4 linked regions of the Anolis sagrei genome follow. The protein of the gene in region 4 interacts with the protein of the main gene of each other region in a pairwise test. Links are inferred from orthologs where the notes say so. Each region holds a gene or a part of one and is shown on either strand. Other genes may lie near its edges.

Region 1 (7,280 bases), on a different chromosome or scaffold from region 4:
CAAAACATAGGATCAATACACAAATACATTCAAAATAGAGGATCAATGCACAAATAAATTCAAAATACAGGATCAACGCACAAATAAATTCAAAATACAGGATCAATGCAAAAATAAATTCAAAACAGAGGATCAATGCACAAATACATTCAAAATAGAGGATCAAGGCACAAATAAATTCAAAATATATGATCAAGGCACAAATAAATTCAAAATAGAGGATCAAGGCACAAATAAATTCAAAATAGAGGATCAATGCACAAATAAATTCAAAATACAGGATTAATGCACAAATAAATCCAAATATTAGATTTTAAAAAGAAGACAGGGTAAATAAAAGGCAGGAGATATGCAATGTGTAAAATAGGATACGGTAACTGCAAAATTTAGCATTAAATGGCCTTGCAGCTTCAAAGACTGGCTGGTTGCTTCTGGGGGGTTCTTTTTTGGGAGGTGTTAGGCGCCTTCGGTGGCACAGTGGGTTAAACCGCTGAGCTGCTGAACTTGCTGACCAAAAGGTCGGCAGTTCAAATCCAGGGAGCAGGATGAGCTCCTGCTGTTAGCTCCAGCTCCTGCCAACCTAGCAGTTTGAAAACATGCAAATGTGAGATCAATAGGTACCACTCCGGCGGGAAGGTAACAGTGCTCCATGCAGTCATGCTGGCCACATGACCTTGGAGGTGTCTTTGACTTAGAGATGGAGATGAGCACCAGAGTCCCCGAGTTGGACACAACTGGACTTAATGTCAAGGGGAAACCTTTACTTTTAACTAATTGGAATCATTAAATAAAAACTTAAGGGAGGATGCAATGTAGGAGAGATGCAATATGCAAAATAGGATCCATGCAAATTAAATATTGCATTGTTTTGAGCACTGTTTACTGCTTTAAGAGAGGAAAGCAGTATATAAATAAGTGTCTATATAAATAAAAAGGTATTGTTAGTTTGTGGGATTAACATAACTCAAAAACCACTGGACAAATTGACACCAAATTTGGACACGATATGCCTATCAAACCAACGAATGACTGTCACTCATAAAAACACTGAAAAACACAGCAGAAGAGACTTAAAAAGCCAAAAAACTAAAAATTAAATTACAACACATGGGCAAAACCATATATATATGCAAAAACACATATACACAAACACACAAAACACATATACACAGAGTGGGCCACAGCAAAGCGTAGCAGGGGACGGCTAGTCTATATAAATAAAAATGTAATGTTCATTTGTGAGATTAACAAAACTCAAAAACCACTGGATGAATTGACACCAAATTTGGACACAAGGCACCTAACAACCCAATGTATGTCCTTCACTCAAAAAAATTGATTTCGTCATTTGGGAATTGTAGTTACTGGGATTTATAGTTCACCTACAATCAAAGAGCACTCTGAACCCCACCAACGATGGAATTGAACCAAACTTGGCACACAGTTCTCCCATGACCAACAGAAAATACTGGAAGGGTTTGGTGGGCAACGTCCTTTGGTTTTGGAGCTGTAGTTCACCTACATCCAGCGATCACTGAGGACTCAAACAATGATGAATCTGGACCAAACTCTACACAAATACTCAATATGCCCAAATGTGAACACTGGTAGAGTTTGGGGAAAATAGAATCTTGTCATTCAGGAGTTGTAGTTGCTGGGATTTATAGTTCACCTACAATCAAAGAGCATTCTGAATCCCACCAACTATAGAATTGGGCCAAACCTTCCACACAGAACCCCCATGAGATCCACAACAACGTGTGGCAGGGGGCGGCTAGTAATAAATATAGTATTAAAATACAGTATAATAAATCAGAATATTACATTACAAAATAGGATCTATGTAAATTGGATACTGCATTGTTTTTAGCATAGTTCACAGCCTGAAGAGAAGAAAGTGGTATGTAAACAAATATAATATTATAATATAATAAATGCAATAACAATACAATATAAATTCATATAATGATAATATATCAAAATATAAAAATCGAAATATTGCAATAGTTAGGGGACCATGTAAGGTGCATGTAATGTCCAAAATAGGATAGGCACAAAATAAATCAGAGTTTGGGAATTGGAAGAAACTATAACTCCCATCAGCCTGCAAGCAGCATACTGGGAGTTGTGGTCCCTTTAAAAAGGATGCTCTATAGTAGGGAATAGGCACAGAACTTGAGCCAAAAAATGGGGTTCAAACTAATAATCATAATATGTAGTATTTGCAAAATAAACCACAGCTTTGGGAATTGGAAGAAACTATAACTCCCATCATCCTGCCAGCAGCATCCTGGGAGTTGTGGTCCCTTTAAAAAAGATGCTCTATAGTAGGGAATAGGCACAGAACTTGAGCCAAAAGGGGAAACTGGGTTCAAACTAATAATCATAATATGTAATATTTGCAAAATAAATCAGATCTTGGGAACTCCCATAAGTCCCATCATCCTCCAACCAGCATGCTGGGAGTTGTGGTCCCTTTAAAAAGGATGCTCTGTAAGAGGAAATAAGTACAGAACTCTAGCCAAAAAGTAAAACGGGGTTCAAACTAATAATCATAATATGTAATATCTGCAAACACGCATGATGACACGTGTTCCCCATGTCACGTTCACACGAGACGCCCTCTGCGCGTCAATTTGCGGGTTTATTTTCTTTTTCCTTCCCTCCTCAACCACAGGAGCAGGAAAGAACGCAAACACGCATCTTGCACGCTTTTTGCACGCATGCATGTGTGAATGGGCCAAAAGGGGGCTGACTTGCGTGTTTTGCAGACTCATACCCCATTCTTATGGACCGGGGGATAAACTAACATGGTGTTTGCTTATATTTTTGATGGGGACTTTGCAAGCCTTGCAAAAGTAATCCCTTCCCTCTTGCATTGCAGTGCATTGCATCTCCCCTTCCTCAGGCAATCCCTCCCACTCTCTCCTTCTTACCTGTCCTTGGCTCTTCTTCCCTCCTCGGACTGTCCGAATGGCGCAGCAGCACTCCGGCCCTTTTATCCTACAGCCCCTCCCTCCTTTTTCTCCCCCCCCCCCCCACCGCTGTGACGTCACCTTCCCCATCCAGGTCCCCAGTTCTCAATCCATCCGCAAAAAGGCGCACTACCCAGAGTGGTCGCTAGAGGGAGCGCTCGCCAATGGGAAAACAGCATAGCCTTATGACTCTTTGTTGTTGTTCATTCGTTCAGTCGTCTCCGACTCTTCGTGACCTCATGGACCAGCCTACGCCAGAGCTCCCTGTCGGCCGTTACCACCCCCAGCTCCCTCAAGGTCAGTCCAGTCACTTCAAGGATGCCATCCATCCATCTTGCCCTTGGTTGGCCCCTCTTCCTTTTGCCTTCCACTTTCCCCAGCATAATTGTCTTCTCTAGGCTTTGCTGTCTCCTCATGATGTGGCCAAAGTACTTCAACTTTGTCTCTAGTATCCTTCCTTCCAGTGAGCAGTCGGGCTTTATTTCCTGGAGGATGGACTGGTTGGATCTTCTCGCAGTCCAAGGCACTCTCAGCACTTTCCTCCAACACCACAGCTCAAAAGCATCTCTCTTCCTTCGCTCAGCCTTCCCGAAGGTCCAGCTCTCACATGCGTAGATGTGACTACAGCGAATACCATGGCTTGGACTAGGCAATGGATCTTGGTTGCCAGTCTGATGTCTCTACTCTTTACTATTTTATCGAGACTGGACATTGCTCTCCTCCCAAGAAGGAAGCGTCTTCTGATTTCCTGGCCACAGTCTGCATCTGCAGTCATCTTTGCACCTAGAAATACAAAGTCTGTCACAGCCTCCACGGTTTCTCCCTCTATTTTCCAGTTGTCAATCATTCTTGTTGCCATCATCTTGGTTTTTTTGATGTTTAGCTGCAACCCGGCTTTTGCGCTTTCTTCTTCCACCTTGATTAGAAGGCTCCTCAGCTCCTCCTCGCTTTCGGCCATCAGAGTGGTGTCATCTGCATATCTGAGGTTGTTAATGTTTCTTCCAGCAATTTTCACCCCAGCCTTGCATTCATCAAGCCCCGCACATCCTCGCATGATGTGTTCTGCATACCAGTTACAGAGGTTGGGTGAGAGTATGCAGCCTTGCCGGACGCCTTTCCCAATCTTGAACCCGTCTCCTGTTCCGTGGTCAGTTCTGACTGTTGCTCCTTGGTCCTTGTACAGATTCCTCAGGAGAGAGACAAGGGGGCTTGGTATGCCCATCCCACCAAGAACTTGCCACAATTTATTATGATCCACACAGTCAAAGGCTTTGGAATAGTCAATGAAGCAGAAGTAGATGTTTTTCTGAAACTCCCTGCCTTTCTCCATTCTCCAGCATCCGGATATTGGCAATCTGGTCTCTCATTCCTCTGCCTTTTCTAATCCCAGCTTGAACATCTGGCAACTCTCGCTCCATGTATTGCTGGAGTCTTCCTTGCAGGATCTTGAGCATTACCTTACTGGCATGAGAAATAAGGGCCACTGTACGGAAGTTTGAGCAGTCTTTCGCATTTCCCTTTTTTGGTATGGGGATATAAGTTGATTTTTTCCAGTCTGATGGCCATTCTTGTGTTTTCCATATTTGCTGGCAAATGGCATGCATCACCTTGACAGCATCATCTTTTAAGATTTTAAACAGTTCAGCTGGGATCCCGTCGTCTCCTGCTGCCTTGTTGTTAGCAATGCTTCTTAAGGCCCATTCAACCTCACTCCTCAGGATGTCTGGTTCTTATGACTCTAGGTCAGCGTTTCTCAACCTGGGAGTGGGGACCCCTGGAAGGGGGGGGGGTACGAGGGGGTGTCAGAGGGGTCGGCAAAGACCACCAGAAAACACAGAATTTCGTATTGGTCCTGGGGGTTCTGTGTGGGAAGTTTAGCCCAATTCTACCGTTGGTGGGGTTCAGGATGCTCTTTGATTGTAGGTGAACTATCAATCCCAGCAAATACAACTCCCAAATGTGAAGCTCTATTTTCCCCAAACTCTACCAGTGTTCACATTTGGGCATATTAAGTATCCGTGCCAAGTTTGGTCCAGATCCATCATTGTTTGAGTCCACAGTGCTCTCTGGATGTAGGTGAACTACAACTCCAAAACTCAAGGTCAGTGCCCACCAAACCCTTTCAGTATTTTCTGTTGGTCATGGGAGTTCTGTGTGCCAAGTTTGGGCCAATTCTACCATTGATGGGGTTCTGAATGATCTTTGATTGTAGGTGATCAATCCCAGCAAATACAACTCCCAAATGTCCAGCTCTATTTTCCCCAAACTCCACCAGTGTTCATATTTGGGCATATTAAGTATCCATGCCAAGTTTGGTCCAGATCCATCATTGTTTGAGTCCACAGTGCTCTCTGGATGTAGGTGAACTACAACTCCCAAAACTCAAGGTCAGTGTCCACCAAACCCTTCCAGTATTTTCTGTTGGTCATGGGAGTTCTGTGTGAAAGGGTCCACAGAGCTCTAAGTATCTCATCGAACTACAACTCCCGACACTCCTCAATATGGAGCTGTGGCTGTGGCTCCATACTGAGGAGTGTCGGGAGTTGTAGTTCGATGAGATACTTAGAGCTCTGTGGACCCTTTCATGCTATACAAGGGGTCTTATTTCCCTGCCAAATAGTAGTAGCGCCTTGCTAAACTAGAAATCCCAGGCCCCTTGTATAGCATGAATGGGCCTACAGAGCTCTAAGCATCTCATCAAACTACAACTCCCAACATTCCTCAGTATGGAGACACAGGCCCAAAAGGTAGATCGTACAATGGAATGCATGCAGTTTGGCACCACCTTAGCTTATCCTGGGAGTTGTAATTCCACAAGGTCTTCGGCTTCTCTGCCAAATAGTAGTGGTGCCTCACTACACTAGAAATCCCGAAGACCTTGTGGAACTACAACTCCCAGGATCAGCTGAAGTGGTGTCAAACTGCATGCATTCCATTGTACGACCTATCTTTTGGGCCTTGTGTTTACTTTTCTGCACCTCTGTCCCTTGATTCACCTTTTCCTCCTTTTCAGAGTAAACAAACCCAAAACGTTTGAACTTCCCTTCCAATCTCTTAATCCGCTTAGATGTTGCAAACCTCATGAAGGATGTTCTCACAGGTGTGGTTTTTGAATGTGCAATGAACATGACCTTGATCAAGGCTGCATGTAACAAAGGTTACCTTTATACCAGGCATGGGCAAACTTTGGCCCTCCAGGTGTTTTGGACTTCAACTCCCACAATTCCTGGCCTCAGGCCCTTCCCAGCTTCAGGAAAGGGCCTGAAGCCGATGTTGAACATGAATTTAGGAGACTCTGCCGAAGCAGAGGTCAGCAGGTTCCCCAGAGTTGTCAGGCTTCTGGACACACATGAGATGCAGGGGTCCATAATGAAAAAGTGAGATAACAGTTAGTCACAAAATTAGTCTAGGAGAAAATGGCATCGGTTTGGAGTCGGTCCGTTGACCGCGGATACGGGGCCCCAAAGGGTTTCCATATCCACGGTTCAGAGGAACGCAGTTTCAGCCTCCCCGGGATGCTGTACGAGCATCCTGGGTGAGCCAACAGTGGAGTCGATCTGTTGACCTGCGGATACGGAGGCCCAAAGGGTTTCCGTATCCATGGTTCAGAGGAACACAGTTTCAGCCTCCCCAAGATGCTGTAAGAGCATCCTGGGTGAGCCAACAGTGGAGTCGATCTGTTGTCCCGCGGATACGGGGGCCCAAAGGGTTTCCGTATCAACGGTTCAGAGGAACGCAGTTTCAGCCTTCCCGGGATGCTATAAGAGCATCCTGGGTGAGCCAACAGTGGAGTTGATCTGTTGACCCACGGATACGGGGGCCCAAAGGGTTTCCGTATCAACGGTTCAGAGGAACGCAGTTTCAGCCTTCCCGGGATGCTATAAGAGCATCTTGGGTGAGCCAACAGTGGAGTCGATCTGTTGACCCGTGGATACGGGGCCCCAAAGGGTTTCCGTATCCATGGTTCAGAGGAACGCAGTTTCAGCCTCCCCAGGATTCTGTAAGAGCTTCCCGGCTGAGCTAACAATGATCTGCGGCTCGGAAAGGGAAAGGTTCATGTTAGAGAGTGTTAGAGGCAGTAAAGAGACACAATGTATCACTACGAGGAGAAAAAGTTGCAGTTGAAGGATACTTTTATTGGGGATTATTACACTGTTGTTACAAAGGAAAGCAGACGGTGATTTTTAGTTGAAACTACTGCTGTGGCCACAGTCCCATCATTGTTGGCCCAATCAGATGTCCTGGAACTGCGGAACTCCCTGCTGCGGTTCAGATCAACTTGATTGAGGGAGCTTGGGGGCTCGA
Region 2 (7,338 bases), on a different chromosome or scaffold from region 4:
TCAGGATTCCCTACAGAGTTTTATAAGCTACTTTGCAATATAGGCAGTCCTCAAGCTACAAACAAGACAGGTTCTGTAGGTTTGTTCTTAAGTTGAATTTGTCAGAACAGGTACATTCCTAAGCGTCACTCCAGTCCAAAATACGTATATCTCTTTCAGCTTTGGACAGCATTAGAAGGGTTAACACCCCAATGGTGTTTGTTTTGCTGTCTGTGCCCCTTTTCAGAAGTTTCTGTCGCTGTGATCATTGGATTTTGAAAAAATGTGGCTTGTGGTAGAAACAAGGATTGGTGATCAGGCTTCAGTGGAGACACCTTTCTTGGTGATAACTCTTTCAGGAGTGAATTTCCTTTCCTAGGGATGGATTTCTCCCTCCCTTTCTCTCTCTCTCTTTTCTCTCTCTCTCTTTGAGGGAAATAGACCTTGACATTTGGGAGTTGTAGTTACTGGGATTTATAGTTCTCCTACAATCAAGGAGCATTCTGAACCCCACCAATGACAGAATTGGGGAACAGAACCCTCACGACCAACACAAAATAATGTGCTTTCTGGTAGTCTTTGGTGACCCTTCTGACCCCTCCCCCCAGTGTCCCCCAGGGGTCTTGACTTCCCAGGTGGAGAAATTGCCCCATAACATGGATTGGACTCCCTTCACCAGGGCAAGAAAACACAATCAAAGCCCTCCTGACAAAGAGCCATCCAGCCATTCACAGACACACATATATGTATATGACAGATGCAGTATCAAAGATTTGAAAGGGGCCTCTAAAGAAGGACAATGATATGTTGCCTGTTCCAGAGTAGGCAAACCAGACACTCTCCACATCAACACTGGCAAAGAAACAGCAAGAAATACTGTTTACCGACAAGCAGAAAGACATTACATATATTAGAAGCCAACACTTTCTCATTACTTTATTTTCCAGATCACCAGACTGGGCCACAGCAACACATGGTAGGGGACAGCTAGTATATAAATAAAAATGTAATGTTCGTTTGTGGGATTAACATAACTCAAAAACCACTGGACAAATTGCCGTCAAATTTGGCCGCAAAACACCTACTAACCCAAGGAGTGACCATCACTCAAAAAAATTGATTTTGTCATTTGGGAGTTCTAGTTGCTGGGATTTATAGTTTACTTACAATCAAAGAGCATTCTGAACTCCACCAATAATGGAATTGAACCAAACATGTTACACAGGACTCTCATGACCAACAGAAAACACTAGAAGAGTTTGGTAAGCATTGACCTTGAGTTTGGGAATTGTAGTTCACCTACATCCAGACAGCACTGTGGACTCAAACAATGATGGATCTGGACCAGACTTGGCATGAATACTCCATATGTGCATTGTTTGAGTCCACTGCTTTGAGCTGGATTATAGGAGTCTACACTGCTCTATTATCCAGTTTGAAGCAGATAATCTGGATTTTATTTTGCAGTGCGGATAGAGGCAGGGGCTGCTCAACCCATTGTAAGCATTTGCAGTATAGTTGATTTTGCCCAGGGGCGCTCTTGGGGGGGAAATAGACCTTGACATATGCAAGTTGTAGTTACTGGGATGTATAGTTCACCTACAATCAAAGAGCATTCTGAACTCCACCAATGATGGAATTGAAGCAAATATGGCACACAGAACTCCCACGACGAACAGAAAATATATATCAGTGATTGGTTTGGGGGGGGGGGGGGGAGGGGGAGTGTGCCAAAATACAGTTTGCTTACCGTTGAAAATTACCTAGGGCCGCCTCTGGATAGGGGATGACATTGCCCTATAAAACAGATTGTACTAAGATCCTAAAGTATGATCTGCTTTGAACTGGATTATAGGAGTCTACATTGCCATATAATCCAGTTCAAAGCAGATAATCTGGATTTTATATTGCAGTGTGGATGGGGGATGACACTGCCCCATAAAATAGATTTTACTAAGACCTAAAACATGATCTGCTTTGAATTGGATTATAAGAGTCTACATTGCCATATAACCCAGTTCAAAGCAGATAATCTGGAATTTATATTGCAGTGTGGATGGGGGATGACACTGTCCCATAAAATAGATTTTACTAAGGCCCTAAAACATGATCTGCTTTGATCTGGATTATAAGAGTCTACACTGTCCTATAATCCAGTTCAAAGCAGATAACCTGGATTTTATTTTGCAGTGCGGATGGGGACTGACATTGCCCTATAACACGGACTGTACCAAGGCCCTAAAACATGATCTGCTTTGAACTGGATTATAGGAGTCTACATTACCATATAATCCAGTTCAACACAGATTATCCGGATTTTATTTTGTAGTACGGATGGGGGCTGACATTGCCCCATGATCCAGTTTCAGAATGGGGATAGATCTGGATTGTAGGGCAGTGTTGACTGATTTAAAGCACCTTGAGGGCCCTTCCTAGGCCATATAACCTAGAATATCAAGGCAGAAAATCCCACAATATCTGCTTTGAACTGGGCTGAGTCCATGCTACCGTATATCCCAATTCAAAGCAGATAATGTGGGGTTTCATTCAGCTGTGTGGAAGGGGCCTGAGATTGAATCCGATGGATATAATCCAGTTGGATGCAGTAAAGCTATATTCTGGAATTGGATGATAATATGACAGTGAGGGAAATGCATGGGCTCAGAATCCAAGTCAGAGGATAGAGATGTTATTCTAAGGCGATGGTCTCAGGCAGGGTGATGTCAGTCCTTCCCAAGCAGGCCAGGGTGGCCCCCGCCCCCTTCTCCTTCCCCTCCCAAGCCTCTCACCTCCTGAGGCTCCTGAGTCCGGGGCTGGGAAGGGAGGCCGGAGGGGCGATCTTGCTTCGGGGACCGCTCCGTGCGGGGGGCCTGCGCCCGGGGGCCCCTCGCCCAATGCGCCGGGAAGGCTTGCCTTCTCCGGGGGGCGCCGATGGTCCTCCGGGGGCCCCCGTCTCCCTCCGCTTCGCCGCCTGCATCTTCCTTCTCCTCCGCCGCCGCCCAGCAGCATCCTTGGCGGCGTCACCGCGCCTTTGGGAGGTCGGGAGGGGCGGGGCCAGCGCCAGGCAGGAGAGGCGCCCCAGACAGGCCCGGGTGACCTCTGAGGTGGCCGCCAGCCTCACTCACAGAATGCAGCCCCAAATGCATTCTAGGCCTCTGTATTAGTGGTTCCCAATCTCTATCTATCTATCTATCTATCTAGCTATCTAGCTATCTAGCTATCTAGCTATCTAGCTATCTATCTATCTATATGTAAATAAAAATGTAATGTTCGTTTGTGGGGTTAACATAACTCAAAAACCACTGGATGAATTGACACCAAATTTGGACACAGGATACCTAACAACCCAATGTATGTCCTTCACTCAAAAATTTGCTTTTGTCATTTGGGAGTTGTAGTTGCTGGGATTTATAGTTCACCTATAATCAAAGAGCATTCTGAACCCCACCAGTGATGGAATAGGACCAAATTTGGCACTCAGGACTCCCCTGACCAATAGAAAACACTAGAAGGGTTTGGTGGGCATTGACCTTGAGTTTGGGAGTTGTAGTTCACCTACATCTGGAGAGCACTGTGGACTCAAACAATGATGGATCTGGACCAAACTTGGCACAAATACTCAATATGCCCAAATATAAATACAGATGGAGTTTGGGGGAAATAGACCTTGACATTTGGGACTTGTAGTTACTGGGATTTTTAGTTCACCTATAATCAGGGAGAATTCTGAACCCCACGAATGACAGAATTGGGGCAAACTTCCCACACAGAACCCCCATGACCATCAGAAAATACTTAAGGTCATCCAATCCAACTCCCTTCATCAGGGCAAGAAAACGTAATCAAAGTCCTCCTGACAAAGAGTCATCCAGCCATAGATAGATATGATTCACACACAGAGATAGAGTATCATAGATTTGAAAGGGACCCTTAAAGAAGGACAATTATATGTTGCATGTTCCAGAATAAGCAAACCAGACACTCTCCATATCAACACTGACAAAGAAACAACAAGAAATACTGTTTACCCACAAGCATAAAGAAATTACATAGATAAGAAACCATTACTTTATTTTCCAGATCACCAGACTGGGCCACAGCAACGCGTGGCAGGGGACAGCTAGTATATATATATATATATATATATATATATATATATAAATGCTCTGTGTGTTAAAAACAAAAGAACCAATGAACGAAATCACACCAAATTTGGTAACAAAATATCTCACAACACAAGGAGTGACCATCATTAAAAAAATTATGATTTTGTCATTTGGGAGTTGTAGTTGTTGGATTTATAGTTCACCTACAATCAAAGAGCATTCTGAACTCCATCAACAATGGAATTGAACCAAACTTGGCACACAGAACTCCCACAACCAACAGAAAATATTGTAAGGGTTTGGTGGACATTGACCTTGAGTTTGGGAGCTGTAGTTTACCTACATCCAGAGAGCACTGTGGACTCAAACAATGATGGATCTGGACCAAACTTGGCACAAGCACTCAATTCGCCCAAATATGAACACAGATTGAGTTTGGGGGAAATAGACCTTGACATTTGGGAGTTGTAGTCACTGGGATTCACAGTTCACCTACAATCAAAGAGCAATCTGAACCCCACGAACAACAGAATTGGGGCAAACATACCACACAGAACCCCCATGACCATCAGAAAATACTTAAGGCCATCCAATCCAACTCCCTTCATCAGGGCAAGAAAACGTAATCAAAGTCCTCCTGACAAAGAGCCATCCAGCCATAGATAGATATAGATAGATAGATATGATTCACACACACGCACACAGATAGAGTATCATAGATTTGAAAGGGACCCTTAAAGAAGGACAATGATATGGTGCATGTTCAAGGGTGGGCAAACCAAACACTCTCCGCATCAACACTGACAAAGAAACAGCAAGAAATACTGTTTACCCAACAAGCATAAAGAAAATACATATATTAGAAATTAACACTTTCTCATTACTTTATTTTCCAGATCAACAGACTGGGCCACAGCAACGCGTGGCAGGGGGCAGCTAGTTTATTTATATTGGGCCATGCCCCACCTAAGCATCTCTTAGTTAGTCCACTTCTACACTGCCAGATAAAATCCAGATTATCAGATTTGAAACTGGATTATATGACAGTATAGACCAGACATTGGCAAACTTTGTCCCTCCAGGTGTTTTGGACTTCAATTCCCACAATTGCTATTCAGAGCAGGGTATAGGGTCGCAACCTGTGCTGGATGGGGTTACACTCCCCTTGAAGGCACAGGTTCGCAGCTTGGGGGTCCTCCTGGGCTCATCACTGAGCCTGGAATCCCAGGTTGCAGCGGTGGCCAAGGGAGCGTTCGCACTATTTGAAGTTTCCGAGCAGTCTTCAAAGGCAACCCCGGTGGCCAAGGGAGCATTTGCACAATTAAAACTTGTGCGCCAGCTGTGCCCGTACCATGGGAAGTCAGACTTTGCCACGGTGGTCCACGCTCTCGGTACATCCAGGATAGACTACTGCAATGCACTCTACGTGGGGTTGCCTTTGAAGACTGCTCGGAAACTTCAAATAGTCCAACGAGAAACTGGGGTGGCATACAGGGAGCATACAACTCCCAAGTTACACCAGCTCCACTGGCTGCCAGTTTGCTACCAGGCACAATTCAAAGTGCTGGCTTTCACCTATAAAGCCCCAAACATGCAAATGTGAGAAGAGCTATAGGTACTGCTCTGGTGGGAAGGTAACAGCGCTCCATGCAGTCACGCTGGCCACATGAGCTTGGCGGTGTCTATGGACAATGTCAGCTGTTCAGCTTAGAAATGGAGATGAGCACTAACACTTCAGAGTTGGACAACACTGGACTTAATGTCAGGGGAAAATCTTTACTGAGATATGGTCAGCTCTCTGTGTCCATGGACTCTGGACCCACAGATTAAACTTCCATGACTTTAGAATACCCCACATCTCAAAAACACATTACTTTTGCCATTTTATATAACAACATGTCATTTGATTATGCATTATATGGGACTTGAGCATCCATTGCTTTTAGGATCCATGGCAGGCCCTGGAACCAAACCCCAGCAAATACCAGTATTTAGAATTCTCTACCAGAATCTCGTGCTTCCCCAAATTACAAATCCCAGGATTGCATAAAAAGTATTCATGGCAGTTAAAACCTATTAAAGGTGCATCTTCAGCCTCCTTAAAGTCTCCTTCTTGTTCTCAGTTACTTCTTGACAGCCACCTAGTGGCAAGGACTGTCATGAAAGACACCAGGACTTGGCTTCTGACTTCTAATCAAAATTTGCCACAGTTTTCAGATTCATACCTTTTTCCTTGGGTCTGCAATTTCTTTCATATGGAAGATATATTCCTCAATATAGCAACAGTTCAAGGATAAGGGAAGTCCAATGAGATTAAAGAGGAAAACAGAGAAATACCTAGAGAATGGCAAAAGGACATCCTTTGGGCGATGCAAATTGGCACATTGTCCCTCTCTGATCTGTGTACTTGTGATCTTGTCACATATCCAAACAAGGATGTTTGAATTTATACCAAATCTTTATATATGAAGTGCATGCAAAGTGGCATACAACAATCATTTGTCGATAATCTCGAAATAGTACATAAAAAAGAACAGCTTCAAAATGAGCAAGAATCACAATGGACTCTGGGTCCTTCCAGCTATAAAACCCAGAATATCAAGGCAGAAAATCTCACAATATCTGCTTTGAATTGGGTTATCTGAGCCCACACTGCCATATATATTCAAAGTGCTGGCTTTAGCCCATAAAGCCCTAAACAATTCTGGCCCAGCTTACCCATCCGAATGTATCTCCTCCTACGAACCATCTAGGAGCTTAAGATCGTCTGGGGAGGCCCTGCTCTCGATTCCGCCTGCCACACAAGTGCGATTGGCAGAAACGAATGGCAGGGCCTTCTTAGTGGTGGCCCCCTGGGTACGGAACTCCCTCCTCAGGGATATTAGATCGGCCTCCTCCCTCCTGGCTTTCCAAAAAAAGTAAAGACCTGGCTCTTTGAGCAAGCTTTTGAGAATGCAGCGGAATAGATAACACAGAACTATGAATGATGAACATGGAACAGCCAGACGATGTGAAGGTTTTTACCAAGACAACACCGATGATTATATGCTTTAACAGTTTTTATTTATGTTTTATATTGTAATGTTGATTGTTTTTAATTGCACTTTTATGAATGCCTGACATCGAATTGTGCTAATCTGTAACCCACCTTGAGTCGCAGTATGGCTAAAAAAGGGAGCTATAAATACCGTAAATAAATAAATAAATATATTCCAGTTCAAAGCAAATAATGTGAGATTTCATTCTGCTGTGT
Region 3 (7,574 bases), on a different chromosome or scaffold from region 4:
ATCACACTTCATGATGGAGTTGAAAGTAGTCTCATGAATGCCACAAGACTCCATACCTAAGAGGAGAGAGAGGAAAAAAGGGAAAGATCTGTAAAGATGCTGCCCAATCACTTTATTAGGAGTAGATTCATTATTTACTGCACAATCCATTGTAAGCATACAAGTAAACACACTCCCTCAGAGCTTGCTAATAATTTCTTCTGGATACAATGGCATGCTTACCTAAGAAAGAGGGCTGGAAGAGGGCTTCTGGACACCTAAACCTCTCATTTCCAATGGTGATCACCTGGCCATCAGGCAACTCGTAGCTCTTCTCCAAAGAGGAAGAGGAAGCAGCTGTGGCCATCTCCTGCTCGAAGTCCAAGGCAACGTAGCACAGCTTCTCCTTGATGTCACGCACAATTTCCCTTTCGGCTGTGGTGGTGAAGCTGTAGCCCCTTTCTGTCAGGATCTTCATGAGGTAGTCTGTAAGGTCACGGCCAGCCAGATCCAGTCGCAGGATGGCGTGGGGAAGGGCATACCCCTCATAGATGGGCACAGTGTGTGTCACACCATCTCCAGAGTCCATTACAATGCCGGTGGTACGGCCAGAGGCATACAGAGACAGCACAGCCTGAATGGCCACATACATGGCGGGAGTGTTGAATGTCTCAAACATGATCTGAAGGAGGAAACAGAAAGCTGTCAATAAGGAGGCACTCCCCCAAGGACACACACCCATGCAGGCATGCAAAGTATCAGATGGAGTTGGAAACCAAAAGAAAAACAGGCAGAAATACAACAGAAACCTGAGACTTCAAGAAGGAAATGCCAGGACAGCACAGAGCCCTAAAAGTAAGAGAAGAGACACTGTAACTGGAAAGAAAAATGGGTGGGTGAAATGGGTGAACATACAGAAAATCAGCAGTGCCAACACCATACCTGTGTCATCTTCTCTCTGTTGGCTTTGGGATTCAATGGAGCTTCTGTAAGCAGCACAGGGTGTTCCTCTGGAGCAACACGGAGCTCGTTGTAGAAAGTATGATGCCAGATTTTCTCCATGTCATCCCAGTTGGTGACAATGCCATGTTCAATAGGGTACTTCAGGGTCAGGATACCTCTCTTACTTTGAGCCTCATCTCCTACATAGCTATCTTTCTGGCCCATACCAACCATGACACCCTATAGAAAGAGGAGGCAAAGAAAAAAGCTCAGCTTGTGCTTTTAGGCGTTAAACAGCCTATAACTTCAACCACACAGACAAAACCCTTCATCAGCTAGCTTGCTTGCTCGGCTATTTACCTGGTGGCGAGGGCGCCCAACAATTGAGGGGAACACAGCACGAGGAGCATCATCTCCAGCGAAGCCTGCTTTGCACATACCAGATCCATTGTCAATGACAAGTGCTGCAATTTCTTCTTCCATTTTTATATCTGCTTTTAAAAATGAGGGAAAAAATCATTAAGGAACATTTAACACACCTCACATTCTGGTATAGTGCCCTACTCCCTCCCCCGCTCGCTCCTCAGGCACTGCAGCATCTGGCCACTAGGGGCTGCTCTGGCAGCCTGCCAGCCATTCTGAGGACCCCACCCTCTTGGGCTGCTTTTCTAGACTCATTCATTTCCTCCCTCCACAGACCATCAGCAGGCAGCAGACATTCTCCTCTCTCTCTGCCTTCAATATACACCTTGAAAATTAGTAGCTCAACTTTTAGTCTTAGTTAAGAGCCCCACAAATCAAGCCTAAATGGCTGTCGATGTGCTATGCTATTGGCCCTAGCTATTGAAAATTTAGCTGCAAAAGGCCCACCCTGCCAAAACCAAAAGGAAAAAGAGACACATTTCTCACAACACATGCCAATCTCCAGAACTCAAAGGAGAAAAAAACGAATGACACACCATCACATATCCAAGAGTGAAATTTCTTTGAATCCACTCAGGACACAAAAGACCAGTTTTAGACAAAATGCCACCAAGCCCCGCCCAGTGAACTTTAAGCAAGCAGCCCCCTAGAAAACATTTAAATGAAGGAAAAGGGTAGGATGGGGGCAAAAAACCAATACTCGGCTCTTAAAAACGTCCCCCACCCTTTGCTGCAACCCCCCTCCGATTGGATTGAAACCAAGACGTCTAGACCAGGCATGGGCAAACTTTGGCCCTCCTGGTGTTTCAGACTTCAACTCCCACCATTCCTAACACCCTCAGGCCCTTTTCTTTCCCCCTTAAGCCGCTTAAGCGAAAAGGAAAGAAAGGAAAGGGCCTGAGGCTGTTAGGAATGGTAGGAGTTGAAGTCTGAAACACTTGGAGGGCCAAAGCTTGCCAATGTGTGGACTACACTGCAGAATTCGCGCATCTCGACAACGCCACTAAAAACCATACTCCCGTGATCCCACAGCATCGAACCATTACAGTGAAAATGGGGGCCGACCTGCATGCACTCCGTAGTGTCATTGCCCCCCCTCTCTCCCTCCCTGAACTGCCTCCCTTTTCGAATAGATTTTACAATGGTCTCCTTTCCCGCCCAGTGACGTCAGCGCCCTCGCCCGGCCAATCCGGCGCCAGCTGCCCTCGGCCCTGCCCAATCACGAGAACCGTTGCGGGCTCGCGAGGAGGGGGGGTTCGCGCGAGCCAAGCCGGCCGCGAGGAAACCGCCTTCCCTTTTTCAAGGCGCCCCTCGGAAGCCGTTAGCGGCTCGAGACGAGGAGGCGGCGGGAAAGGGGCTTAACGCCCACGCTCTTTAAATCATAAACCGCTTCCTATCTTTACAGGCACACTCATGTCCAATCTAGAATTTTTTAAATAAAGTATATACTTTTCGCATCCGTTTTGGACAAAACCAGTAACAGCTGCATATAAAATATTAATAGAAAAAGGCAAGGTGTGGGGGGGGGGGCGTGAGGAGGGGGACGTGACCTACCTGCAAGGAGGCGGAAGCTTCAAAAGGTCAGGAGACAAGAGAGAGGAGCCGATCGTGCTAGATCCGCTGCCGCCGGCTGAGTGAGACCGAGCGAACGCCAGCCCCGCCCCTTTTATACCCAGGGGGGCGGCGGCCCCCGCCTGGCCGGCCGAGAACATCGCCATATATGGAGATCTTTCAGAAACATGCGCTCCCATTGGCTGGGCCGGGCCGGGCCACGTGGGGCAGGCGAAAGCGGCTCGGCCACGCCCCCCTCCTCCGAAGCCCCGGAACCTGGATGCGCGCAACGAGGGCGAGCTGGAGGAGGGGGTGGGCAAGGCCAGGCTCAGAGCCCCTCTCTCAGTCCTCGCCCTTAGGGTGGCTTCTCTAGAAGACTTTCCACCCAGAAGAATCCTCCACCTTGTGCGACTGGGGAGCAGAACAGGCCACTCCGTATCTGTATGCGTGTCCACAGTGCCCTGCCTGATGCTCAGAGGAAGAACTGTTTAAAGTATTTTGAAGGCCTCTCCCCCACTCCCAAAATACAGTCGAGAACATGTCTACACTCTCACATGGGGACTAGGGCTGTGTCAGGCCCATAGCCAGAATTTTGATTTGGGGGGGGGGCTGAGTTTGATGGGGGGGGGGGGCTGAGTCTGAGTGAAAGAGGGTCTGGTCTACCCTAGCAAACTTTTTGTATCCTTACCCCAATACCCCCATGCATATGGGATATATTGAGCATGGTGATCAGATCATGATATGAATAAACAGAACAGTTTAAGTAATGCACCAGTAAGGCCTTTTCGCGAACCACCATGAGAATTTCGGGGGGGGGGGGGGGGCTGAAGCTCCCCAAGCGCCCCCCTCCCCTGGCTACATGCTTGGGCTGTGTGTTTATGTGGACTCCTCTGAGGGCTACTCTCAGGTCTCCTATTGTGGAGGTTGCTTGCCTTTGCCCTACGGCCACCATTTTGTAGCCAAGGTGCATGAGGCCTGCCTACAAGTTGAGCAGTTGAACGGGAGACCTCACAATCTCTGAGAATTCCCACCATACATGCAGGCGAAACGTCAGTAGAGAATGCTTCTGGAACACCTATGGTGGAGGTCGCTTGCCTGTGCCCTATGGCCACCATTTTGTAGCCAAGACGCATGAAGCCTGGCTACAAGTTGAGTGGTTGAGGGGGAGACCTCACAATCTCTGGGGATGCCCGCCATACATGCAGGCGATAATGTTTCTGGAACATGGCCATGTAGCCCAAAAAACCTACAACAACTGCCATGGCTCAATCCTATGGGATAATGGGAGTCATCGTTTGGTGAGGCGCCGGTGCTCTTTGTCAGAGAAGGTGAAAGACCTTGGAAAACTACAGAACCCAGGAATCCATAGCCTTGGAGTGGTATCAAACCACATTAATTCTACAGTGTGGATATACTTTGTTGTTACATAGGGCAAATATTTACATATGGCTCCGGTTTGCACCTCAGTGCCCATAATCCCTACACAGTATGGGAGGAAGCAAGGGATTATGGCGGTTGTAGTCAGGGTGCCACAGCCCTGCCCTGCTAGGAAATGTTGAATCAATGCACTAGCCTTTCTACATCATAAGGCAGACTTGGTGTCTCTCTCCTGAAGTACCTGTAATTTGCAGCCTTGAGTCTCCCCAGGGGAAGCCGGCGGCCTTTCACCATCCCAAGAAAAGACCCAAGGCCTGCATCCCATTCCTGAGAGGATGCCCCTTTATCCTTGAGCTGTCACGCCTTGCGTTCTGGGTTGAAATATTGCCCTATATGGTCCTTGCATTGCCATGTTTTTTCACCTGTGCCACCACCATGTTGGATCTGCCTGCCTCTGCAGTGCTGAATGCCACACCTTTCCATTCGACTTGCATTGCTTAAGTGAAGGGTAGAGGACTATTATGTTGCTATAGTCACAGCAGCATTGTGTTTTCTGTACGGAAAGATACTGACGCGCTTGACACGCTGCAATTCAGGAATGCTATAGTGGACTTCTAGGAGAGTTATAATGACTTTTACATCACTGCACTCCCAGGAGCCAGCAAATATTACGAAAATCAGTATGCCCTCCATTTCAATGGTTCACAAGCCGTTAAATCATAATGTGATTTTAAAAAGCAAACAATGTGCTATACAGAGCTTTGATAAGCACTAGTCTCACAAAACACTGCCTATAGCCTGTGGGGTGCATACACTGTAGAATGAATGCAGTTTGACATCGCTTTAACTGTCTTGACTCAGGGGGTTTGTGCAACACTCCTTGGCTAAAGACCTTGTAAAACTCGAGCTCCAATGATTCCAGAGCATTAAACCATGGCAGTTAGCGTGCTGTCAAACTGAATTTGTTCTACAATGTAGATATATCCTAGGGCACAATACATTAAACCAATGTTTCTCAAACTGTGTTGCTCCAGGTGTTTGGGACTTCACCTCCTAGGCAACTTACCAGCTGTTAGGAATTGTGGGAGCTGAAGTCCAAAACAGCTGGAAGAGCACAATTTGAGAAACTCTGCATTAAACTGTATACAAACCAGGAAGTGGGTTCTTTATAGAAGCTTTCCCCACATATTCTTCAAGTATTGGACTACAATTCCCATCCTCCCTAGCCAATATTAGGGAAGGCTACTTTGAAGCATTTTTTTCATGATTGGGCTCAAAATATCTCTCTAGGATTCAGCCCTCTGTTCCAAGGAAACTGGTAATCCAGTCTGCAAAGATGACCATGCAGTTACTATTCAGGTAAGGGGGGACTCCATGCCCCTCAGGCCTTTAAGAAACTTTAGATCAGAAAGTGATGCACAAGGTGTTTCTGTTGAATGAAGCAGAGCACAATCCACTGACCCCAGGCAACCCATGTGGTCCAAGCTGCCCCAGGTTTTCTCTCCTTTTAAAGTGATAGGTATGGAAATTGAGGAAGCCTGCTCAAGATATGAAAAGAGTAGCCATGCCTTTGACTGTGAAGTCTCTTTCAAGTTCTGCAGAGCATCAGGAAACCTCACTATGTATGATTTGTTGTCCTGCTGGGTTCTTCCTAACAATAGAAACTGCTTTTCATTGAATTAGAAGTGAAGCATACTTTGTCTTCAATTGCTTATTTCTTGTATGGAAGTGGGGGGCAGGAATTGGACTTACCATACAGTTAGCCAAAAAAAAAAATGCAGCCTTTTGCTTTTCATTTCATTTCCCCCCCTAAGCAGACATCTTAGCTGTTGACAGCAATCAGCTGTATCAAAGCTCAGAGGAAAGAGGGAGACACCTCTTTTGGGTAAGCTCCAGATCCAAACACAGGTAAAACAGCCAGGCCCTGCCCATCCCTGTTCACTGCACACACCTAGGAAAATAACCAGGCCTCGCCTATGAGCAGGTGACTAAGCTCTTCCTTCCCACGGAAGCCTAACCCTCTCGTCTTCCTAATTTGGGAAGCAGCCTGCCAAGTCAACTGAGAGTTAAGCTACCAATAGCAGAAGGCTGCAATATGAGTAACAACCAGCGCATCAGTGGAAATCAGACACATCATAGAATCACAAAAGGATGATTCGTTTGGTATCGACTGCTCCACTCCAAGGGAATATTTGCAAGATTATTTGGAATCCTTCAATTTTGGGAAATGGTTGCGTAAGCAGATAAACCAAGCCATGGTGGATCTGGTCCAGCTTTCTGTTCTCATAGTGGCCCATTGGGTGCATATGGGAAACCTATTGGCAGGAGACAGATGCAAAAAAAAAAAAAACCCCTCCCATTTCCAGTTCCGTCCTCATCATCATAGGCACTGATCAGATTAAAATGCCAATTTTACATAAGCAAACAACACATGTGGAAGGGGACCAAGATTATTATTGTTGACCCATGCAAGGCACTTTGACTCTTACACATGTAGTCACTGACACTTTCAATTTGCCTTCCTTATATGGCAGTACCAATATGTCAGTACAAAGTGTCAAACAACCATATCATAGGCTTTCAAGTAACCTTGAAGGGCGGGGAATATTTGAATAGGGCACAGCCTTCCCCCCACCCCTTGTGTATTCGTTCTTTATGTTCTGCCCTCCCTATTAGTGCTTTCATCATGTTAAGTCTGGGCTTTTACTTTTTTAAACTGAGAACATTTAGAGGAAGTATGGTGTATATCACGTGTTTTAAGACTTTCTGAATTTGTCTGCAACATAAAATTGAGAATTCAGCAGGATTTTTGCCATACATTTGCCACCAATTATTTGCCAGGAATACACAGTCTTATCTTTGGTGAGAAGATAAAACTGAGGAAGTAAGCAGGGCACTCCCGCAAGTGACAATATAACATTTACAGCCAATTCCTTTCTGGCCACCGAAACTCAAAGCATAACTAGTGGAGGAAGACCCAACAGCAACCCTTTCAAGGTCAGCAGGTCCTGCTTCCTTCCCCGGTTTGGAAACGTTTTGTGATTTCAACACCCCTTGTTTTTCTTGCTCTTTCCTCCATTTCCAACCACAGATGCCATGTTGAATTGTGAAGTGACACATCATTGCAGGAGGAGGAAATGGCACGCGCAGCATAACTCGTGTGCGCTTCATGAGGCAGGTTTTGTTTCTAGTTTCTTTACTGCAGGGGTGGGGGGAAAGAAAAGCTGAACAATGCTCCAAACCCCTACGTCTTTGTTCTCCAGGTCTTTCCAATGGTGTGTGTGCATGCTCCAGCGTGGGGC
Region 4 (7,566 bases):
GAATGGTAGAATAAGCAGAACAATAGAGGACAACACATTTATGGCCCCAATTTATTTACAGGAGGCATCATGAAGACATCTAATATTCCTACAATGCCCTGCTCACACATGTCATTTTTATATCAGTATTAGACACAAAGTATCTACTCAGGCTGATCTGCCTGTGTCAAGACTGATTCAGTTCATTCCCCCAGCCCATAATGTGATGTATGTAGCATGTCACATGGCTAAAACAGCCAGGAGGTACATCCTCTTCCTTCAAGAGGAATGGAAGAGCTCATTAAAAAGGTGCATTCGATCCTATTTCATCAAAATGGACACTACCACTGTCTTTAGCTTTCACACACTGTGAGAATAGCAACCTAGCTAGCTTGCATCAGAGCAGATGGTTGCAAAATGCATGCACACGGAGCAACAACAGCGACGCATGACCATTAAGACATATCCCCATGACATGTCTTAATAGCGGCACATCAGGGTGTGCAATGGGCATTTCCATGCCGCCTTTCTTTCCACATATGCCAGAGAGGATTGTTTATATTATCATCAAACGAGCCTGAGACTGGGAAAAGAGTCAAGAGAGCAGTGGGGTTGGTTCATCTACCTTACTGCTTCTATTTTTGATGCCTGGACACATTGTATGTGTTCCTTTCCCAAATACTGTAGCAGCAATGTAGATTTTGAAGGAGAAGGGGAGGGAAAAAGATTAGATTTGGAAGAGACACATTAAGCAACCTTCAAAATGGGCAAGAGGTGACCAAGACCATCTCCAAAACACCTTTCATTTAAATGTACCTTCCATCTCTCTCCTTTCAAATTATATATGAGAGAACAAATGCACCATTAAGGGGTAACAATAAGGAGCTAAGACCCCATCACACTAGAGAATGAATCCACTTTAAATCTGGTTGCTTCTTCCTGCAGAATTCTGGGATTTGTAGTTTAAGGAGGAGACTTTCACAGCCTCACTGAACTACAAATCCCAAAATTCTGCAGGAAGCAGCAGAATGGGTGAGAGGTGACCATGACGATCTCCAATACACCCTGCATTTAAATGTGCCTTCCATCTCTCCCCTTTCATATTATATATGTGTGAGGAAATGCACTATTAAGGAGTAACAACAAGGAGCAATCTAGACCTCACCACACGAGAGAATGAATTCACTTTAAATTCAGTTGCTACCTTCTGCAGGATTCTGGGGTTTGTAGTTTAAGGAGGAGCCTTTGACAGCCTCACTAAACTACAAACCCCAGAATTCTGCAGGAGGCAGCAGAATGGGCGAGAGGTGACCAAGACCATCTCAAAACACCTTGCATTTAAATGCACCTTCCATCTCTCTCCTTTCATATCTTATATGAGGGAGGAAATGCACCATTAAGGGGTAACAACAAAGAGCGACATTCATGCTGTAATGTGATGAGTTCTTCGAGACCTCATCACACTAGAGAATGAATCCACTTAAAATCCGGTTTCTGCCTCTTGCAGAATTCTGGGGTTTGTAGTTTAAGGAGGAGACTTTAACAGCCTCACTAAACTGCAAACCCCAGAATTCTGCAGGAAGCAGCAGAATAGGCGAGAGGTGACCAAAACCATATCCAAAACACCTTTAATTTAAATGTGCCTTCAATCCCTCTCCTTTCATATCATATATGAGGGAAGACATGAAACATTAAGGGATAACAACAAGGAGTGACATTCAATCTCTAGTGTGATGAAGTCTTAGAGACCTCATCACACTAGAGAATGGATCCACTTAAAATCTGGTTTCTGCCTCCTGCAGAATTCTGGGGTTTGTAGTTTAAGGAGGAGACTTTAACAGCCTCGCTATACTACAAACCCCAGAATTCTGCAGGAGGCAGCAACCGGATTTAAAGAGGATTCATTCTCTAGTGTGATGAGAGATAGATGCTGTTTCCCAGCTGTGCTTGGTTGATCCCTCTTCTTGCCCTTTCCCCATACTATTGATTATCACCAGCGGGTTCTAGACAGCTCTCCACCTCCATTCAGAACAGGAACACCCACACATCTTCCAGGAGGGAAGGCTTTCTGTCAATAACAAAAACAACCCTGCTGTTATCAAGAGGAGCAGTTTGTGCCCATCTGGGAAGTTCTGGGATGGCAAGGGAGGAAAGGGAAAGGCTGGATGGATGGGAGGAAAGGGGACATCTGTTGTGGGGGGAGGGGGCAGCGAGGCTGGGTGGGCTCCTCTGCCACACACTCACACACACACACACACACCCTCCCAAGCCCCCCCCCCCCCTGCTTCTTACCCTCAAGGCGGAGAGATCGATCTCGTCCAAGCTCCGCGCTGGAGAATCACTCGCCATGTTGAGTGGGGGGCTCCTCCACCGAGGAAAAACGGCCCCAGGGAAGAAACCCACGGCGCTGGCTTCGGGCTCCGGCCTCTCCTGCTGCCCCACAAGCTCAGCAAGCCCTCCGTCTTCGGCTGGGTGGGAAGAGAGGGTCCCTGTATGGAGACCTCCAGCCTCTCCCTCTCATGCGCCCTGCTTGCGCTTCTACTGCTGCTGCTGCTGCCAATGGAGAGGAGCGGCACCCTTTCCCTCTCCTCCTTCCTCCTCTCCTCCTTCTTCCTTCTTCCTTCCTTCCTTCCTTCCTTCAACGCTCACGTCCTCCGACCAGCGTCCCCCAGGAAAGGGCAGCGAAAGCGAGAGGAGAAGCAGGAGCTCCGGCGCCTTGGACGAGAGGCGAAGGCGAGTGCGCCCGGGCACTTTTACGCGCCGCTCTCGGGGAAAGAAGAGGCGTGCAAAGGCGGAGAAGGGAAGGTGCCTCTGCTCGGGAGGGTCTGCTTTTCAGGAGGGCATGGCTGGCTTCTCCTGGCCCGGGTGGGGAGGCTGCCTCGGTTTCCCCGCTCCTCTCCCTCCCGGTGAAGATAACGAGGCGATTCCCGGTGCGGTCCCGGCGCACCTCGCCTCCTCCACTCGCTCGGATGGAGAGGCAGAGAAAGCTGTCACCGAGGAGGAAGAGGAGGAGGAGGAAGAGGAGGCTTCCTGGGAGGGAGAGAGGGAGGGGAGGGGGACCAGGGAGGGGCGGCGCCTCCTCCGCTTCTCTGGGGAGGGGGAGGGGAGGGGGAAAAGAGAGCCAAGCAATAGCGTTGTGTGGCGGTGGGCTTGGCCACTACAACACAAACACACCCAGGCATTACAGCTTGTGTCCAAAAGCACACTCTATCCACTCAGTAGGATAATGATTATTATCTCAAGGCCAGAACCTTCCTAACCCCTTAATACAGTTCCTCACGTTGTGGTGACCCCCAACCATAACATTATTTTTGTTGCTACTTCATAACTGTAATTTTGCTGCTGTTATGAAGGGTTCTGCCAACCTAGCAGTTCGAAAACATGCAAATGTGAGTAGATCAATAGGAACTGCACCAGTAGGAAGGTAATGGTGCTCCAAGCAGTCATGCCGGCTACATGACCTTAGAGGTGCCTACAGACAACGCCGGCTCTTTGGTTTAGAAATGGAGATGACCACAAACCCACATACTTAGGCTCGATCTGCACTGTAGAATTATTGCAGGGCAACACTACTGTAATTGCCAGGTCTCGATGCTATGGAATCCTGGGAGTTGTAGTTTTGGGAAGCATCAGCACTTCCCAAAACTACAACTCCTATCAGTTATGAATCATCATGTAAATATCTGATATGCAAAATGTGTTTTCATTCACAAGTACCCAATGCGCCCAAATTTGAATCCTGGTGGGCTTGGGGAGGATTGATTTTCTCATTTGGGAGTTGTAGTTGCTGGGATTTATGGTTCACCTACAATCAAAGAGCATTCTGAACTCCAACAACGATGAAATTGAACCCAGTTTGGCACACAGAATTCCCATGACCAACAGAAAATGCCGGAAAGGTTTGGTGGATATTGATCTTGAGTTTGGGAATTGTAGTTTACCTACATCCAGACAGCACTGTGGACTCAAGCAATGCTGGATCTGGACCAAACTTGGCTTGAATACTTGATGAGAAACGCTGCATTACAGCTTGTGTCCAAAAGCATACTCAATCCACTCATTATGATGGTGATTATGTCAAGGCCAAGTACAAATACATTTAGAAGGAAGAACAAGTGTCACAACAAGGATTTGTAATAATAACAATGTCTGCTTTGATTGTGTGTTTCTGGAAGGTCTTTTCTAACCCTTCAGATGTTTTGGACTTCAACTCCAGAATTCCAGCTGTCAGGAATTGCAGGAGTTGAAGTCCAAAACACCTGGAGAGCCGCAGTTTGCCCATGCCTGATTTAGGACTAATACCTTTCACACCACCTTAACTGTTCTCAGTGCTATGGAATCCTGGCAGTTTCGAGCCTTTTCTGTATCGAGCCTTTTCTGTCTCGGGGCCCCTTCTACAAGATCATCCACATTATATGATTTGAACTGGATTATATGAGTCCACAGGAGTCCCTAGTGGCGCAGTGGGTTAAACCACTGAGCTAATGAACTTGCTGACCAAAAGGGTGGAAGTTCGAATCTGGGGAGTGAGGTGAGCGCCTGCTGTTAGCCCCAACTTCTGCCAACCTAGCAGTTCAAAAACATGCAAATGTGAGTAGATTAATAAGTACTGCTTCAGCAGGAAGGTAGCAACGCTTCATGCAGTCATGCTGACCACATGATCTTGGAGGCATCTATGGACAACACCGGCTCTTCGGCCTAGAAAATGAGATGAGCACCACCCCCAAATGGGAAACATTTTCATTCTATGCGTCCACACTGCCATATAATCCAGTTCAAAGCAGATAATCTGGATTTTATATGGCCGTGTAAAAGGGGCCTAAGAGTGATGGCCTTTTGCATGGACCCCTGGCAGTTAAAGTGGGGCCAAACCTCTTTATGTCTACAGTGAAGAATGCCCTCTCAGACTGAAGGAGCATTGTCATAATAAGGATTTATAGCAATAAGGGTAATAATATCTGGCCTGCTTTGATTGGGTGTTCTTTAATGGCAACTGCATTGTCCTTGAGGGTCTCTTTCAACTCTATGATTTCGTCAGAATTACAAAACCCACACTTAGGATCCATCTGCACTGTAGAATTAAGGCAGGGCAACACGCAGGCATGTAGCCGGGGGGGGGGGGGGGGGCTTCAGCCCCCCCCCCCGAAATTCTCATGGTGGTTCGCGAAAAGGCCTTACTGGTGCATTAATTAAACTGTTATGTTTATTCATATCATGATCTGATCACCATACTCAATATATCCCATATGCATGGGGGTATTGGGGTAATGATACAAAAGGTTTGCTAGGCTAGACCCTCTTTCACTCAGACTCAGCCCCCCCCCCGAAACTCACCCCCCCCAAAACCCCCCCTGAAAATTTTTTAGCCCCCCCCCCCCCCGAAACGAAATCCTGGCTACGGGCCTGGCAACACTACTGTAACTGCTAGGTTTCAATGCTATGAAATCCTGGGAGTTGTAGTTTGGGGAAGCATCAGCACTCTTTGGCATAACTGGGTAAAGATTTGGTAAAACTACGACTTCCATGATTCCATAGTTTTGAGCCATGGAAGTTAAAGTGATGACAAACTGTATTAACTCTACAGTTTGGAGGCACCTTTAGATGATACTTTATTGGGGTTGTCCACTGGAGATCAATGGGGCTTGGATATGAAGATGCAGAATTATGCAGTTTGATACCCCTTTAATTGCCATGGCTCAATGTTATGAAACCATGGGATTTGTAGTTTGATGAGGTACTAACACTCCCAGACAGAGAAGGTTAAAGACCTTATAAAACTATAACTCATGTTATTCAACAGCACTGAGTCTTGGCAGTAAAAGGGATGTCAAACTGCATTAACTCTACAATGTAGATCAGGCATGAGCAAACTTGGGCCCTCCAGGTGTTTTGGACTTCAATTCCCACAATTCCTAACAGCTTTGGGCCCTTAAGTGGTTGAGGGGGGAAAGAAAAGGGCCTGAGGCTGTTAGGAATTGTGGGAGTTGAAGTCCAAAACACTTGGAGGGCCCAAGTTTGCACATGCCTAGTGTAGATGCACCCTGAGTTAATACAAATGCATTAGCTACAGTTGTAACCCTTACTCCTGAGCAATTTCCATTGCATTTAATAAGGCCTCCTTTGGAGTAAAAGCATTGGAATGGGCTGTAGATTGCACCAGATATTTTCCCTTAAAGGAGAGAGCTGGTGCTGAATGCCTTAAGAAAGGGAGGGAAATAAAACCTCTCAATTCAAAATCAAAATCAGAAAGAGGGAAACTGTGCTCAGTTTCATTAATCCCAGCCCTGCAGTTTCTTTTGAATTTATCCAATAGCGAGCTCTGCAAACTGACCTTTCCCTGTTTGAATCATAAATTCGGATTTAATGCCAACAGTATGAATTCAAATCAGGCCCCTTAAAAGCAGCCGTTGTCAAACGCGTGACCAAAATTCCTCCCTTCGGTCTAACTGCAGATGGAGAAAGAAAAGGGCTTTCTGTTTCACCCAATGACACGTGAGATTAAAAACAACTGCATTCCTCCTGCTAGCAGGAGCAGTAAAATATAAAATAATCGAGGCACCTGATTTTTTTCTGTCTTTGATGAAATGTATTCAAAGTTTGTTTCTGAAAAAAAAAAGATTGGCAGGGGTTTCCTTGAAAACACCACTCCAAGGAGCTCGGGGCCTTTCTAGTAAACTCTGGGGTGTGTAGGCTGATGTTGAAGGCCATGCATGTCCAGAAGCACTCTTGCTTCATCAAGTTTTCACTTTTCCAGAGGGTTAATTCCTGAGTCACAATTTGTCCTGCAAGCATGGATATTGTTCCAGCACTTTTAAAAACAGTTAAAGGGCCAGTGTCATGTACTGGTTCAAGTGTTTGATTAGGATTTTGGAGACTTGGGTTCGAATCCCCACTTCATCTTGGAAACCTTGGGAAAGTCATATCCAGAGCGTGGCAAAGGTAAATGTCCTTTGAAAAAAGTGCCCAGAAAACTTTGTGATAGGCTCCCTTAAAGGTAAAGGTAAAGGTTTCCTTTTAACATTAAGTCTAGTCATGTCCGACTCTGGAGGGTGGTGCTCATCTCCATTTCTAAGCTGAAGAGCCAGTGTTGTCCATAGATGCCTCCAAGGTCATGTGGCTGGCATGACTGCATTGAATGTTGTTACCTTCCCACCAAAGCGGTATCTTCACATTTGCATTTTTACGAACAGCAAGGTTGGCAGAAGCTGGGCCTAACAGCAGGAGCTCACCCCACTCCCAGATTTGAATAGCTGACCTTTCAGTCAGCAAGTTTACCCGCTGTGCCACTGGAGGCTCCCTTAGGGTCCCTTAGGGTTTCTGAAATCGGAAATGAACAAGATGTCTGGAATACTATACATTTCAACCTGGAGTCTTGGGGTGCATCTGCCCTGCATATTTAATACAGTTTGACCTTGCTTTTGCTGTCCAAAGCTCAATGCCATGGAATCCTAAGATCTGTATTTTGGTGAGGCACCAGTGCTCTGTGGCAAAGGATGTTAAAGACATTGTAAAACTACAATTCCCTTGATCTCATAGGATTGAGCCATGGCTATTAAAGTGGTGTCAAACTGCATTATTTAGCACAGC

Evidence for each region.
Region 1: the proteins of TNIK (region 4) and CLU interact in a two-hybrid assay, tested with the Homo sapiens proteins (2 studies listed by BioGRID and IntAct). The link is inferred for Anolis sagrei from reciprocal best matches to the Homo sapiens genes TNIK and CLU.
Region 2: the proteins of TNIK (region 4) and PDE4DIP interact in a two-hybrid assay, tested with the Homo sapiens proteins (2 studies listed by BioGRID and IntAct). The link is inferred for Anolis sagrei from reciprocal best matches to the Homo sapiens genes TNIK and PDE4DIP.
Region 3: the proteins of TNIK (region 4) and ACTG1 interact in a two-hybrid assay, tested with the Homo sapiens proteins (2 studies listed by BioGRID and IntAct). The link is inferred for Anolis sagrei from reciprocal best matches to the Homo sapiens genes TNIK and ACTG1.

What each region holds. Positions count from the first base shown.
Region 1 is NC_090021.1:3,070,547-3,077,826, reverse strand, and holds the start of CLU (clusterin), read right to left. Parts: upstream 3,018-7,280; 5' UTR 2,937-3,017; intron 1-2,936.
Region 2 is NC_090024.1:132,332,653-132,339,990, reverse strand, and holds the start of PDE4DIP (myomegalin), read right to left. Parts: upstream 3,007-7,338; 5' UTR 2,957-3,006; coding exon 2,769-2,956; intron 1-2,768. UniProt on the Homo sapiens protein: Functions as an anchor sequestering components of the cAMP-dependent pathway to Golgi and/or centrosomes.
Region 3 is NC_090022.1:131,819,405-131,826,978, forward strand, and holds the start of ACTG1 (actin, cytoplasmic 2), read right to left. Parts: upstream 3,008-7,574; 5' UTR 2,899-3,007; intron 1,416-2,898; exon of another isoform or gene 1,413-1,415; 5' UTR 1,405-1,412; coding exon 1,282-1,404; intron 1,162-1,281; coding exon 922-1,161; intron 662-921; coding exon 223-661; intron 57-222; coding exon 1-56. UniProt on the Homo sapiens protein: Actins are highly conserved proteins that are involved in various types of cell motility and are ubiquitously expressed in all eukaryotic cells.
Region 4 is NC_090023.1:252,620,769-252,628,334, forward strand, and holds the start of TNIK (TRAF2 and NCK-interacting protein kinase), read right to left. Parts: upstream 3,016-7,566; 5' UTR 2,329-3,015; coding exon 2,272-2,328; intron 1-2,271. UniProt on the Homo sapiens protein: Serine/threonine kinase that acts as an essential activator of the Wnt signaling pathway. Recruited to promoters of Wnt target genes and required to activate their expression. May act by phosphorylating TCF4/TCF7L2.